3 linked regions of the Xenopus tropicalis genome follow. The protein of the gene in region 3 interacts with the protein of the main gene of each other region in a biochemical or structural test. Links are inferred from orthologs where the notes say so. Each region holds a gene or a part of one and is shown on either strand. Other genes may lie near its edges.

Region 1 (3,650 bases), on a different chromosome or scaffold from region 3:
CCTTCATAGTATCCCAGTTCATGTATTATACCCCAAAACACACATCAAAATAAATTCCATGTTAATAGCCTAGAACACATGGCAGGATAGCAACAATGTTAACTCTATATAAAATAACCCAGAACATATAGCACAAAACTTCCATGTTTGATACTCCAGAACACATGGAAGGATAAATACAGTTGCAATTCTATATAAAATACCCAGGAACAGATGGCAGGATATATACAGAACCAATTCCATGTATATGGGTGAAGACACACTGAGCTACTTAGTAGCAGCTATCATGGCTACTAAATGCCAAAAAAACCCTGCCATAGACAATACTGAGAATTGTCTGCTAAAACACATGTAGAGACAGTTATCAGTAAATGATCACCATTGTCTATTTTAGTAGACGTGACAAGTAGCTGCTACTAGTAGCTCTGTGTGTCTTCACCCTTATACATCTAGGAACACATGGCAGGATAAATACCGTTCCAATTCTATATAAAATACCCAGAACACATGGCAGGATAGCAACAATATCAACTCTATATAAAATAACCCAGAATATATAACACAATACTTCCATGTTTAATACCCCAGAACACATGGGAGGATAAATACAGTTCCAATTCTATATAAAATATCCAGGAACACATGTCAGGATAAATACCGTTCCAATTCTATATAAAATACCCCAGAACACATGTCAGGATAAATACCGTTCCAATTCTATATAAAATACCCAGGAATACATTGCAGGATAAATACCGTTCCAATTCTATATAAAATACCCAGGAATACATTGCAGGATATATACCGTTCCAATTCTATATAAAATACCCAGGAACACATGGCAGGATATATACAGAGCCAGTTCCATGTATAATACATCTAGGAACACATGGCAGGTTAAATAAAGTGTGAGTTCCAGGGATAATATTGTGTTGGTTTCCCCAAGCCTTTATTAAAACCCACCTATGTGACTATATTGGCATTCTAATTGAAATTCTCTCATTCTTTATGACTTGTATATTCTGTATTTCTATATTCTATAAAGCACAGCAAGACTGAAAGCTGTTGGATTTCCATTGTTTACATTGGTTGGTATTGCCAAACAAGGCCTTAAGGCATGGATGTCCTACCTAAAGGAAGAATGTGATCTTCCAGTGGGTCTTGAGCTGGTAACCAGTGAATCTGAAGAGCTATGTAAATGTCCACACTGCTCCATTACAGTACCCAGAGTTGTGTAGGGGGGTTGGCAGGCACCAATTCGTACCCCTTCAGATACGCTTCTGACACTGAGCCTGCATGGCTGATGCCAATTTAGGCCTGGCTTCTTTTATTCTTCTATAGGTTTATGGTTCCATGGTAGACTTTACATCAATGATTTCTCAGTGTTTTGTCTGCAGACGTCTAGACAGAAAAACTGGGTGAATGGTGCAACCTAAAATGTGTAGGCCCCGGTGGTTCTAGATACCGTATGCCATTGCTCTTGTACTACGGCACAAAGCATTTACAAATACGTGTTGTTGTTTTTTTAAGTTATAAAATGCTGATTATTTTTTGTTGGAAACAATTACACACGCACTGTTAAGCCTGATTATATTTTAAAAAAATGAATTGTGTTTGCAGTTTTATTAAATGAAATGTCTTGTCCTAGGTAATAGAGCATGAACATCCTGTTAATAAAATTTCATTCATTGCTCGAGACGTGACGGATAACCGCGCATTCGGATACGTTTGTGGAGCGGAAGGGCAGCACCAGTTTTTCGCAATAAAAACGGCCCAGCAGGTATGTCATGGGAGCCCTCGGCTGACTCAAGTTCTGTAAAGCTTTATTGACAGTATTTGAATACTTCATTGATTGGCCTACCCTTATCCCAGAATCATTATTACCAATCAATGCTCCCTGTCTTTAAAAATCTAAAATGTGGTAGAAATTCACTGAGCAGGTAGGTTCTAGGTGGCTGCAGGTTACTATTACAAAAGTCATGCCACAAGGGGGCACTGCAGTACCTACCTGCTCCAGTTATTAAAGAAAAGGGTCTACTCTAGGCTGAGTTTCATGGGGGTTTTTGCCTTACAAGGGAGGTGGTGGGACATTAAACGAGCTTGGGGGTTGTCACCGCTGACAATTAAGAAGCCTCATTTGATAGCTCACCTTATGATGGTCGGATAACTTGAGCTTGAGAATAAGGTGGCTACCTTTTCTGGAAAAAAATACCGGCCTTGCTAAATTTTTTATAATTTTTTTCAATTAGTAACATTGCCATCAAGCCTCATTTTCACCATCCAACCCTACTTGAGAATGAACTAAGCAGACCAATAAATAATGGTGTCTCCTTTCCCACAGGCTGAACCTTTGGTTGTCGATCTAAAAGATCTTTTCCAAGTTATCTATAACATAAAGAAAAGAGAGGATGAAGACAAGAAGAGGGTGAGTTTGGATTCACCTTTCTGCCTCAATCTAATTTATTGGCGCTTACCTGTAGCTAGCAGGTCTATACAAAGAAGCTTCCAGCCCAAGCAACCTGCAGAACAGGAATGTGTTTCCAGGCAGGAATGCTTGTGTTGGATTTGCCCAGCCAACCTTTGGTTTCTAAAATGAAAGCCTAGTTTAAATGGGAAATTGCCTGGATCCTGTCTTCATGGGTTACTCTTACACTTACAAATGACAGTACTGTGGAACTATGGCATGGAACAGTGTGTAGAATATATTCTTCTGCACACTATTAAATAACCCAATTGAAGCTGAGAGGAACACTGTCATCAGAAATAATGTCCCATAGAGAACTATGGGAAATGTCCTAGCTAATGTACATGAATCACAGCGTTTTCCCCATATCCTCTACAAAAAGGGCATATTAAATAATCAATGGTACGGCATTTAATATTGTGCTAAGAGAGATGATTATAATAACATTAGGGCTCATTCATTAATTACCAGCAAAGCTCAAAAAGGGGGTGCAATCCACCACGGCTTTTGCCCATTGTGCCCTGTCCTGCACAATGGAAAATTAGCACAGGTCAAAACCATCTTGTGAATACAGTGCTGCCTGCATTGTTAGTGCTGTATTCATAACACAAGTGTTTTTTTAAGGTGTGTTAAGGGGTGCAGTTTTGCTGCTTGTGCACTTGCATCCAGGGTGACAGCAAATTACACCGGTTAAGGGGGTAGAAATAGGAGCATGGCTTTGCATCCATTTAGCACTTGCATTCCTAAATAGAGATGTAGCGAACTGTTTGCCGGCGAACAAATTCACACGAACATCGGGTGTTCGGAAGTTCGCAAACTTTTCGCGTATGTTCGCAATTTGGGTTCGCATGGCGTTTTTCCGCTGCGTTTTTTCTCGGCCTAAAAACGCAGCACAAGACACAAATGGCGTTTTTCAGCAAATCCCGTTTCCATGGTGCTAATAGTGTGAAATAGCAAAAAACGCTGCGTATTTCCGCTAGGTCTGCCAGCTGCCTTTGCGGTTTTACACAACGCTGTGTCAACAAAGTATTTTTCAGAGACATTTTTGCCCTTGATCCCCCTCCTGCATGCCACTGTCCAGGTCGTGGCACCCTTTAAACAACGGCAAAATCAGTTTTCTGGGCAGAAATGGCTTTTCTAGGTTTTAAAGTTCCCCTTCCCATTGAAGTCTATGGGGTTCGCAAAG
Region 2 (4,294 bases), on a different chromosome or scaffold from region 3:
TATTTTAAAATTACACTGCCTAATTATTATTGTCTTACACATGAAGAGTCAGCCCTTGGTACTACCGGAGATGCACCTCACCACTATGAAGCTTGTAGTGTCATCCAAAGGTGCTAGACAGACTAGAAGCCAGTGTTAGTATTTATGAAAGGACCCAGAACCTCATGCCAGTTTGGTGAAATGAAATATAACGCATTTTGAGGGGCTCTGCCACATAGGATAACTGTGAGAAGAGGAAACACAAGTGGCTATGACCTTAAACTGAAAATGTGTAATAATACACAATTAAGGATGGTGTTCCTCATGATGAAAAGCTAAATAATTGTATAAGAAATCCCACTAAAGAATTTAGAGAAAACCAAGCTGTAAGCTTGCTTACTTCATCTGAATGTTAAAACCACCCTTTATTACATCTCAGATAAAAAAATAAACTTACACATGTTTAGACAAAAAACACTTAAAGTGTACAATTTCAGTAATATATGAAACTCAATAATGCAGTTGTGAATCCATATTATCTGTACTGAATTAACAAATCTGCCTTAAGGATCACCTAAGAACAATAATAAAAAACAAGAGATGCTAGAAACACATATGTAATACGAAAACACAAAATTAAGTACTCTAAACAATTTGTTTAGAAAAAATAGTGTTTCCTCATCTAGGTGTACAAATAACTTAGCTATGTAAACAAACTCTTCAGAGACTATAGTAAGCTTTAAACAAAACTGCCCAAAATACTGATTTTCAGGGATGTAAAACCAAACAGGGATAACATTAAACGAGGAGTAATTTATAATCTTGGTGATTTCAGGGCTATACAGACACAACAAGCCCAACAAACTTACTACTGAACACCAATTTGTCACTTGACAATACAAGGTGCAGAGAGTAGAGGTTCTGTCACCCTCTGTATCAAAGAGGATTATCATACCATAAACAGAGCTTATTACAAAGTTTGCTCAGATGGAAGCTCCATTGATAACCTGCCCACCTCCCCCACAAAAAATATAGGTACAAGACTAGATAGTGGTGTTATCACCACAGCTTTGCATTTACCGAAGCCTTACCATATACAAACAAAGTAAGAGGGGTGATGAATCCTTGTATACATATAAGGTAACCCCAACTGTAAAATATAAGGATATAAGTCATCCAGGAGTTCAATGACCATATAAAGAAACAAGGTGGAAGGCAAAGTACTTTTTTAATGGTCATGGAATTCCAAGATGACTTTTTATGTCATCATATTTTACACACAGGGGGTATATTATTTATAATAACAATACACAAGTTTCAGTGAGACAAGAGACAGAAATTATATTCATAAGCATAACTATAACTAATGAAATCACTAAACACTGTATACTTCTATATATACACAATTGTATATTACTGGCACTCATTAACAAATGTAATTAACACAAAGTCGAGCAATACTAACAAAAGTAGTTTACAAATATACTTCTTGGAATTTGTGTCCCCTCAGCCTGGTCTACAGACCTGCATACAAGGGAAACCTGGAACTACAGACAACCTTGATCTGTTAGTAAAGCTGGCCATACACGTGGCGATCTCACGATGTTTCGTACGACCGTCGGTCGCACGAAACATCGTCAGATCCGCCACACACCATTCAGGGCTGAATCGGCAGGTAAGGAGGTAGAAACAATAGGATTTCTACCTCCTTCTGCCGATTCAGCTCTGAAGGGAGAATTTTGGTCAGGCGCCTTCTATGGCGCCCGATCAAAATTTTCTAACTTGGCCGATCGGCGAGCCGACCGATTTCAGCAGCTTCCTGCGATATCGGTCGGCTCGCTGACATGCCATACACGCACCGATTATCGTACGAAACGAGGTTTCGTACGATAATATCGGTGCGTGTATGGCCACCTTAATTCTCCCTTATCTTTTCTTTCAGTAAATGTGTTTTGGTGCACCCTGAATTACTTCCAAAAGCAGGGCCCCTACTTGCTACTGAGAATAGTACCCAAAAAATAGAAACAAAACAAAAGAAAAAAAAATCATCGGGTAAAAAAATATAAAAAATATAAAAAAAATAAAAACATAAAAAAGGCATGGCTACTGGTAATTTTATCAACATTATATTTTCCTTTTAAAAACAAGGTGAGTAAAAGTGGAAGGCTTTCAGTTTCATAACCTTCCTGAGTATAACCATGTTACCACTAACACAGCTTGGTTGCTATTACAGCAGTTAGTGGATGACAGGGGTGCAGCTGACAGTAAGTCACCAGAAAAAGCTCCCTTACGTAATAATAATATCTCCTACGGTTGTACTATTATGTACTGCAGTGACACAAGCACTTACTTTCCAAAGCTGAGTCAGAGTCTTGATAAAGAAATGACCCCGCCCCCCACACAAACCTATACACATATATATACCTATACACATACATATATACATACAGGTAACAGCATTAACTGAGGTCGGACACGGAGCCACTGGTGATGCCACTGCCAGACACCGTTCTAAAAACGTCACAGAGGGCCCTGACCTTCATACCCAGACATTCCCAGTAACTTCCAGCACAGATCTCGCACAGATCTCCTACAGTCGCCTATATATACTTACAGCCTGCCCGCTACGGGCTGGGAAGCTTAGCCCAACCCCTTACGGTATCGTTACCAGCTCTAAGCTCCCCTTACGTAGTAGCAGGCAGTGCATGAAAGGCCACTGACGTTCGCCATCAGAGAGAAACTCGGTCAGTGCCATACACTGCTGCCGCTCTGCCCCGGTGGAACCCAGTGCCCCTTATAAAACATGTTACCTGTGTTGAAGGCTGCGTTGGTCGCGCTGGCGTGCTTCTGCCGGTACAGGCGCCTACGTCAGCCAGATGGTGACAGAAACAGAAGCAGGGAACGTCTGACCCCAATAATCCAGTGCGCACTAAGGTGCTTCCGCATGCCAAGCGCAGGGATTGTTTTCTTTCCACTGGGTCTTGCCTGTGTATATTTGCGTCACTTCCGTTAGCTGGAACGCGGAAACGCATTGCCTGGCACAGCTTCGAGTAAGCGGACAAGTTGAGAGAGGGAGAAAAAAATCTTTTCTTATGGCTGATGGAATGTAAACGTATTTTTCGGGTCACTTACAGTTATCTTTCGTTAAAAGGCTCCATATTAAGTTTCTTTGGCGTGAAATTGTGTTTTTACGGTTAACTCTTAAAACATTCAACTATCTTTATTACTAAGTGAGAAGGATATGTACACCTTTATTGCAATATGAGAAATTAGGCCTGGACTGGGATTCAGAATAGACTATGACTTTTCAAGTAAGTAGTGGCCCAAACTGCTTCCCCCCCCACTTAAGGTGGCAATACATGGGCTGATTCTAGCTGCCAATATTGGTCCCTTAGACTGATTCGGTTTAAAGGAGAAAGAAAGGTAAAAACTAAGTAAGCTTTATCAGAAAGGTCTATGTAAATACAGCCATAAGCACTGACAGAAACGCTGCACTGAGTTCTCTCTCAAAAGATTACTTGTGTCTGTTTTCCTCTGCCAGAGACACGCAGCTCTCCCCTCCCTCAAGAATGCTAAGAACTCACTCCAGCTTTAAATTAATAATCAAAAAAACATGAATTGAGCAGAAAAACTTAAGTTAAATTCACTAAAAGGTCCTGAAAGTTAAGCAATTTAAATCTCCTAGAGTGGGTACCATGAGGCACTGGGTTTTCCTTTCCACTGTGGTATAGTATGGTTTATGTGTTTTTGAATTTTTGTTACATTTTCTGAGGCAATAAATGTCTGTTCTTTTCACTAAAAAATTTATGTGTTGATTTAAATAATTTAAGAACTCACTCCCCCTTTAGGAATGTGGATCTGAGCCAATCAGCAGGAAGCTGACTCATAGTCTAACTAACTGAGCATGTACACCCGACTTGCTCTTGGTGCAGGAGCGAGGCATTATGGGAACTTTCTTTACACAACTCAGCGTTTTTTCTTTATGTTCTGGCTTCTGATCATCTGAACAGGTGAAACATGGGGAGACTTAAGGGCACTATTGAGAGAACTGAAGGTATGCCTGCAGCTTGAGATTAACTCTTTATTAGCCTTTCCTTCTCCTTTAAACATTAGTCAGACCGGGGACTGCATCAGCTCATTGATGTGGCCCCTGAACCACTGGACACCCATACCCATCGTTCTAATTCGATCATTTGACCCCAGGGCCAAACAACCAAATTAGGCGATATCGCCCACCCATAGGTGGGGATATCGGGAGAAGATCCACTCACTTGGCGACCTCGCCAAGCGAGTGGATCTTAGCATGTATGGCCTC
Region 3 (4,248 bases):
TAGCACCTATTGCCTTAAGCTGATGTCCATCACAATACAGACTGGGCTGTGTTTTTCACCCGAGAAGGTAGGTTTCTCTGGCTAATGTTGTTGGCAAGGACATGGATCAGGAGGTCTAGTTGCACTGCTGTTACTGTAACATGTGATCCTTGCCTGCTATCTCTTCTTCTGAGTGTATGAACTCCTGTAGCTCCAGGTGGTGCACGCTGTTGCCAAATCCCCCTTAAAAGGGAGTTCAGAAAACAAAATTCTAATGCATGTGAACAGAAAAACATAAATCTGCCCCTTAATTTTGGTGGTTTTTAAGTGTGAAATTAGAGCTCATCATAAAAAACTCACTTACTATTCATTCATTTTTAGAAGTGTATTTATAAAATGGTGAACTCAAACTTTCACTCACTAATAAAAAAACTTTAAAAAATTCCATAGGAATGAATAGAAATAGTTTTTTTCTGTAATGAGCTTTTATTTCACACTTTGATAAATCTGCCCCTAAATATAATTTATCCTTGCCTGACAGGTTACTTAGTAATTCATTTTTTAGTGCAAGAAATCAATTCTATACACTGATTTTACAACTGATTCACTGACAGGATCAATATTAGCAGGGCAATCAACTTATGCTAAATTTAAATGAGTGAGTTTTTATAGTTCAGCCAGTTTGTTAATTAGTGGCAGAATGGATTACATCAGCAGTCACCCTTGTACTCTGAAAATGTTCATCTTAATCTTTAGCCTTTATGGCTCCATTGTAACTACAACAGATAGAAATGTCTGATGTGTATCATTCATACATACACTCAGCAATTAGTAAACGCACGCCTATCCAGGCCAGTGATTTGGTATGGCGAATGCAGAAGCTAAACATGCAACACCTTGACAGGGCTTCATAATGTAAAATATACAGCATATCCCTCTGTTTGCAATATGGTGAAGACACACAGAGCTACTAGTAGCTGCTACTTCATGGCTACAGAAATAGAAAATGCTGATATATATTTACTGATAATTGTCTTTATATCTGTTTTTTAAAGAGGCAATTCTCAGTATTGTCTATGGCAGAGTATTTTCTGGCTTTTAGTAGCCGTGACAAGCAGCTGCTACTAAGTAGCTCTGTGTCTCTTCACCCTTACTCCTGTCATTACCACACTGAGCAATTCATAAAAAAACTTCTTTAAGGAAGTCCAGTGTATTTAATGAGCAGCAATAGCTGGCATAGATAGAGATAGTAGGGATAAAGTAAAGTGACTACTCCAGCAATATGAAGAAGGGATGATGTGTCAGTCTTATAACATACACAAATCTAAGTTATTTGAACACAGTAGGTACACTTGTACCAAAGTTCACAAGGAAGAGCAAAGCTGTGAACAGTGATCCTTGATACAAGAATAATACTAAACTGTAATAGACCATAAAATAAAAAAGGATTGCATAATTCCAAGTATGTCTGTGACAGCTGTATCCTTTGAAAAAGCCTCAGCCAAGCCGGCAGTATGGCATCTCTGTTGGAGCACATATCCACAGGTGAATAGCCTGAATTCATAGGTGTGGCTGCCAGGAAGCATTATTACCCTTTTCAACTCTCGCCTCTCTATTGCTACAGAACGATAAATCTAATGCACTTTGTTTGCGAGCACAGAAAGAGATAAAGTTAAACACCCATTGGACCTGATCTTAAGTATAAATGCAAAGCATGAAGCAAAGGGATCTTTTTGGATGCAGACTAAGCTATACCCCCTCACTGGACCCTCTGGACCCTATCTGAAAACAAGATATTGTTTCCAACAAGGCACAAACTTGCAAACATGTTCCCTAGAACACATTAAAAGTAAGGGCACTTGCAAATCCCAAAGAGATACATTTAGCCAAAGAGTAATAGTTTAGTTATGAGTGCAGATTAAGATATACCCATTTACTGGACTCTCTGTAACCTATCTGAAAACAAGGCATCATTTCCAACAAGGCCCAAACTTGTATATACTTTATACCAGCACTTGTGTACATAGACACGAATTATGTTCCCTAGAACAGGCACTTGCAAATCCTAAAGAGATACATAATACCAAATACTAATACTTTACTGATGAGTGCAGCCATACAGTTAAGGGTTAACCTGGAGCTGGGTGTAGTAGACATGCATAAAATAAAGCCATAGTAGGTGTTAAACTACACTTCCCAGATTTTATCAAATATGGCAAAGGATCTGCGAGTTGTAGTTCAATCTGAGAGACAACTTTATGAAGCAGACAACATCAGGCACATTTCCCCTCAGATCTATGTAGTTAAAGGCAAGATCTCTAGGGAAGGCTTTGCTAGTGGGGAATTCAGGAAGTTCCATATTGGATCTCTGAGAGGCAGAGGAAACATCCTGGAAGAGAGAGAGGTCCATGAGGATAGGGAGGGGGTGGGAAATCGGGCTGAGTAGAGAAAACTGGCCAAAGTAGCAGCGCACACACTGACAGCTCCAGCGCACAGAGCTAGATACCAGGGAGAGTTATGGAAGAGCAGATCCCTGCGGGGGGCGGGGGTAGGGGGATGTAAGAGGATGCAGTGCAAAGATCAGCACTATTTATCCCCGGCCTTTACAGCACCGGGACTCTCTATTTACTCACCCCGACCTTCGCTTGCAGCCCCAAACGCACTCCGGCCAGCAACGATAGGATGAGCGGCCGACAAGGTCCAGAGCACCGGACTCGCTCTGTCTCTCACCCAAAACTCCTTCTCAGCCGGCCAGCTAAAGCTCCCCTCAACTCACCGCCCAGTGCTGGAGCCCAGCCGCTGCTAACGTCACCGGGCGGGGCCAATCCCACAATGTGACCAGGAAGGGAAGGCGGGGCCCGGATCTCAGCACCTGGACAGGGACAGGGAGGGGACAGTGGCCTCACCCAGTACCAGTTCTACTCGCTGTCCTACTGGTGGCACGGGGGATGGGTACCTGCTGGGGCTCCCAGATGGCTCAGCCACATGACCTTTTCCCCCTCTGTGTGGGAAACACCTGTCTGCTAATGTTCTCAGGGGATTTAGCTGCAGGGTAGGGAAATAGCTCCGGTGCGTGGGGCTTCAGTCTGGAGTGGACTGTAAATGATATGGTACGGCTGAGTAAGGCTTTTGGGGGGCTTTCATGTGCCAATTGGAGGGTGAGTTGGCTAAGTTGGAATGTAGTATGGTTGCAGTGGGCACCAGCTGTAGAAGAGTAAGGTGTTACTGTACCGGGCACTGACAGGCTATTCTAGCAGATATGGTTGCACCGCCCATAGTTATTGCTCTATCATGGAAAGGGCAAGTGCTGCTACATTAGCCATATCTCTGTCTCATCTACGTTTTCTTTGGCTGTGACCCCTTGCCCTGGCTTAGTCTTTACTGCTATCTTCTCTTCCAGACTAGCGGGTGAGCATTTTGCATGCATCTACCCACAGCCATTCTACCCACTGCCATTCTACCCACTGCCTTTCTACCCACAGCCATTCTACCCACTGCCATTCCACCCACTGCCATTCTACCCACAGCCATTCTACCCACTGCCATTCTACCCACTGCCATTCTACCCACTGCCATTCTACCCACAGCCATTCTACCCACAGCCATTCTACCCACAGCCATTCCACCCACTGCCATTCTACCCACAGCCATTCTACCCACAGCCATTCTACCCACAGCCATTCTACCAACAGCCATTCTACCCACAGCCATTCCACCCACTGCCATTCTACCCACAGCCATTCTACCAACAGCCATTCTACCCACAGCCATTCCACCCACTGCCATTCCACCCACAGCCATTCTACCCACTGCCATTCTACCCACAGCCATTCTACCCACAGCCATTCCACCCACTGCCATTCTACCCACTGCCATTCTACCCACAGCCATTCTACCCACAGCCATTCCACCCACTGCCATTCCACCCACAGCCATTCCACCCACTGCCATTCTACCCACAGCCATTCCACCCACTGCCATTCCACCCACAGCCATTCTACCCACAGCCATTCCACCCACAGCCATTCTACCCACAGCCATTCTACCCACAGCCATTCCACCCACTGCCATTCTACCCACAGCCATTCCACCCACTGCCATTCTACCCACAGCCATTCCACCCACTGCCATTCTACCCACAGCCATTCCACCCACTGCCATTCCACCCACTGCCATTCTACCCACAGCCATTCTACCCACTGCCATTCTACCCACAGCCATTCTACCCACAGCCATTCCACCCACTGCCATTCTACCCACAGCCATTCC

The links.
Region 1: the proteins of myo6 (region 3) and dab2 form a complex in vitro, tested with the Homo sapiens proteins (7 studies listed by BioGRID). The link is inferred for Xenopus tropicalis from reciprocal best matches to the Homo sapiens genes MYO6 and DAB2.
Region 2: the proteins of myo6 (region 3) and tax1bp1 form a complex in vitro, tested with the Homo sapiens proteins (5 studies listed by BioGRID, with this or other methods). The link is inferred for Xenopus tropicalis from reciprocal best matches to the Homo sapiens genes MYO6 and TAX1BP1.

The regions. Positions count from the first base shown.
Region 1 is NC_030677.2:196,570,998-196,574,647, forward strand, and holds part of dab2 (disabled homolog 2), read left to right. Parts: intron 1-1,648; coding exon 1,649-1,780; intron 1,781-2,341; coding exon 2,342-2,425; intron 2,426-3,650. UniProt on the Homo sapiens protein: Adapter protein that functions as a clathrin-associated sorting protein (CLASP) required for clathrin-mediated endocytosis of selected cargo proteins.
Region 2 is NC_030682.2:42,513,376-42,517,669, reverse strand, and holds the start of tax1bp1 (tax1-binding protein 1 homolog), read right to left. Parts: upstream 2,902-4,294; 5' UTR 2,790-2,901; intron 2,733-2,789; exon of another isoform or gene 2,594-2,732; intron 2,515-2,593; exon of another isoform or gene 2,440-2,514; coding exon of another isoform or gene 2,428-2,439; intron 1-2,427.
Region 3 is NC_030681.2:90,641,827-90,646,074, forward strand, and holds the start of myo6 (unconventional myosin-VI), read right to left. Parts: upstream 2,849-4,248; 5' UTR 2,613-2,848; intron 1-2,612. UniProt on the Homo sapiens protein: Myosins are actin-based motor molecules with ATPase activity. Unconventional myosins serve in intracellular movements. Myosin 6 is a reverse-direction motor protein that moves towards the minus-end of actin filaments.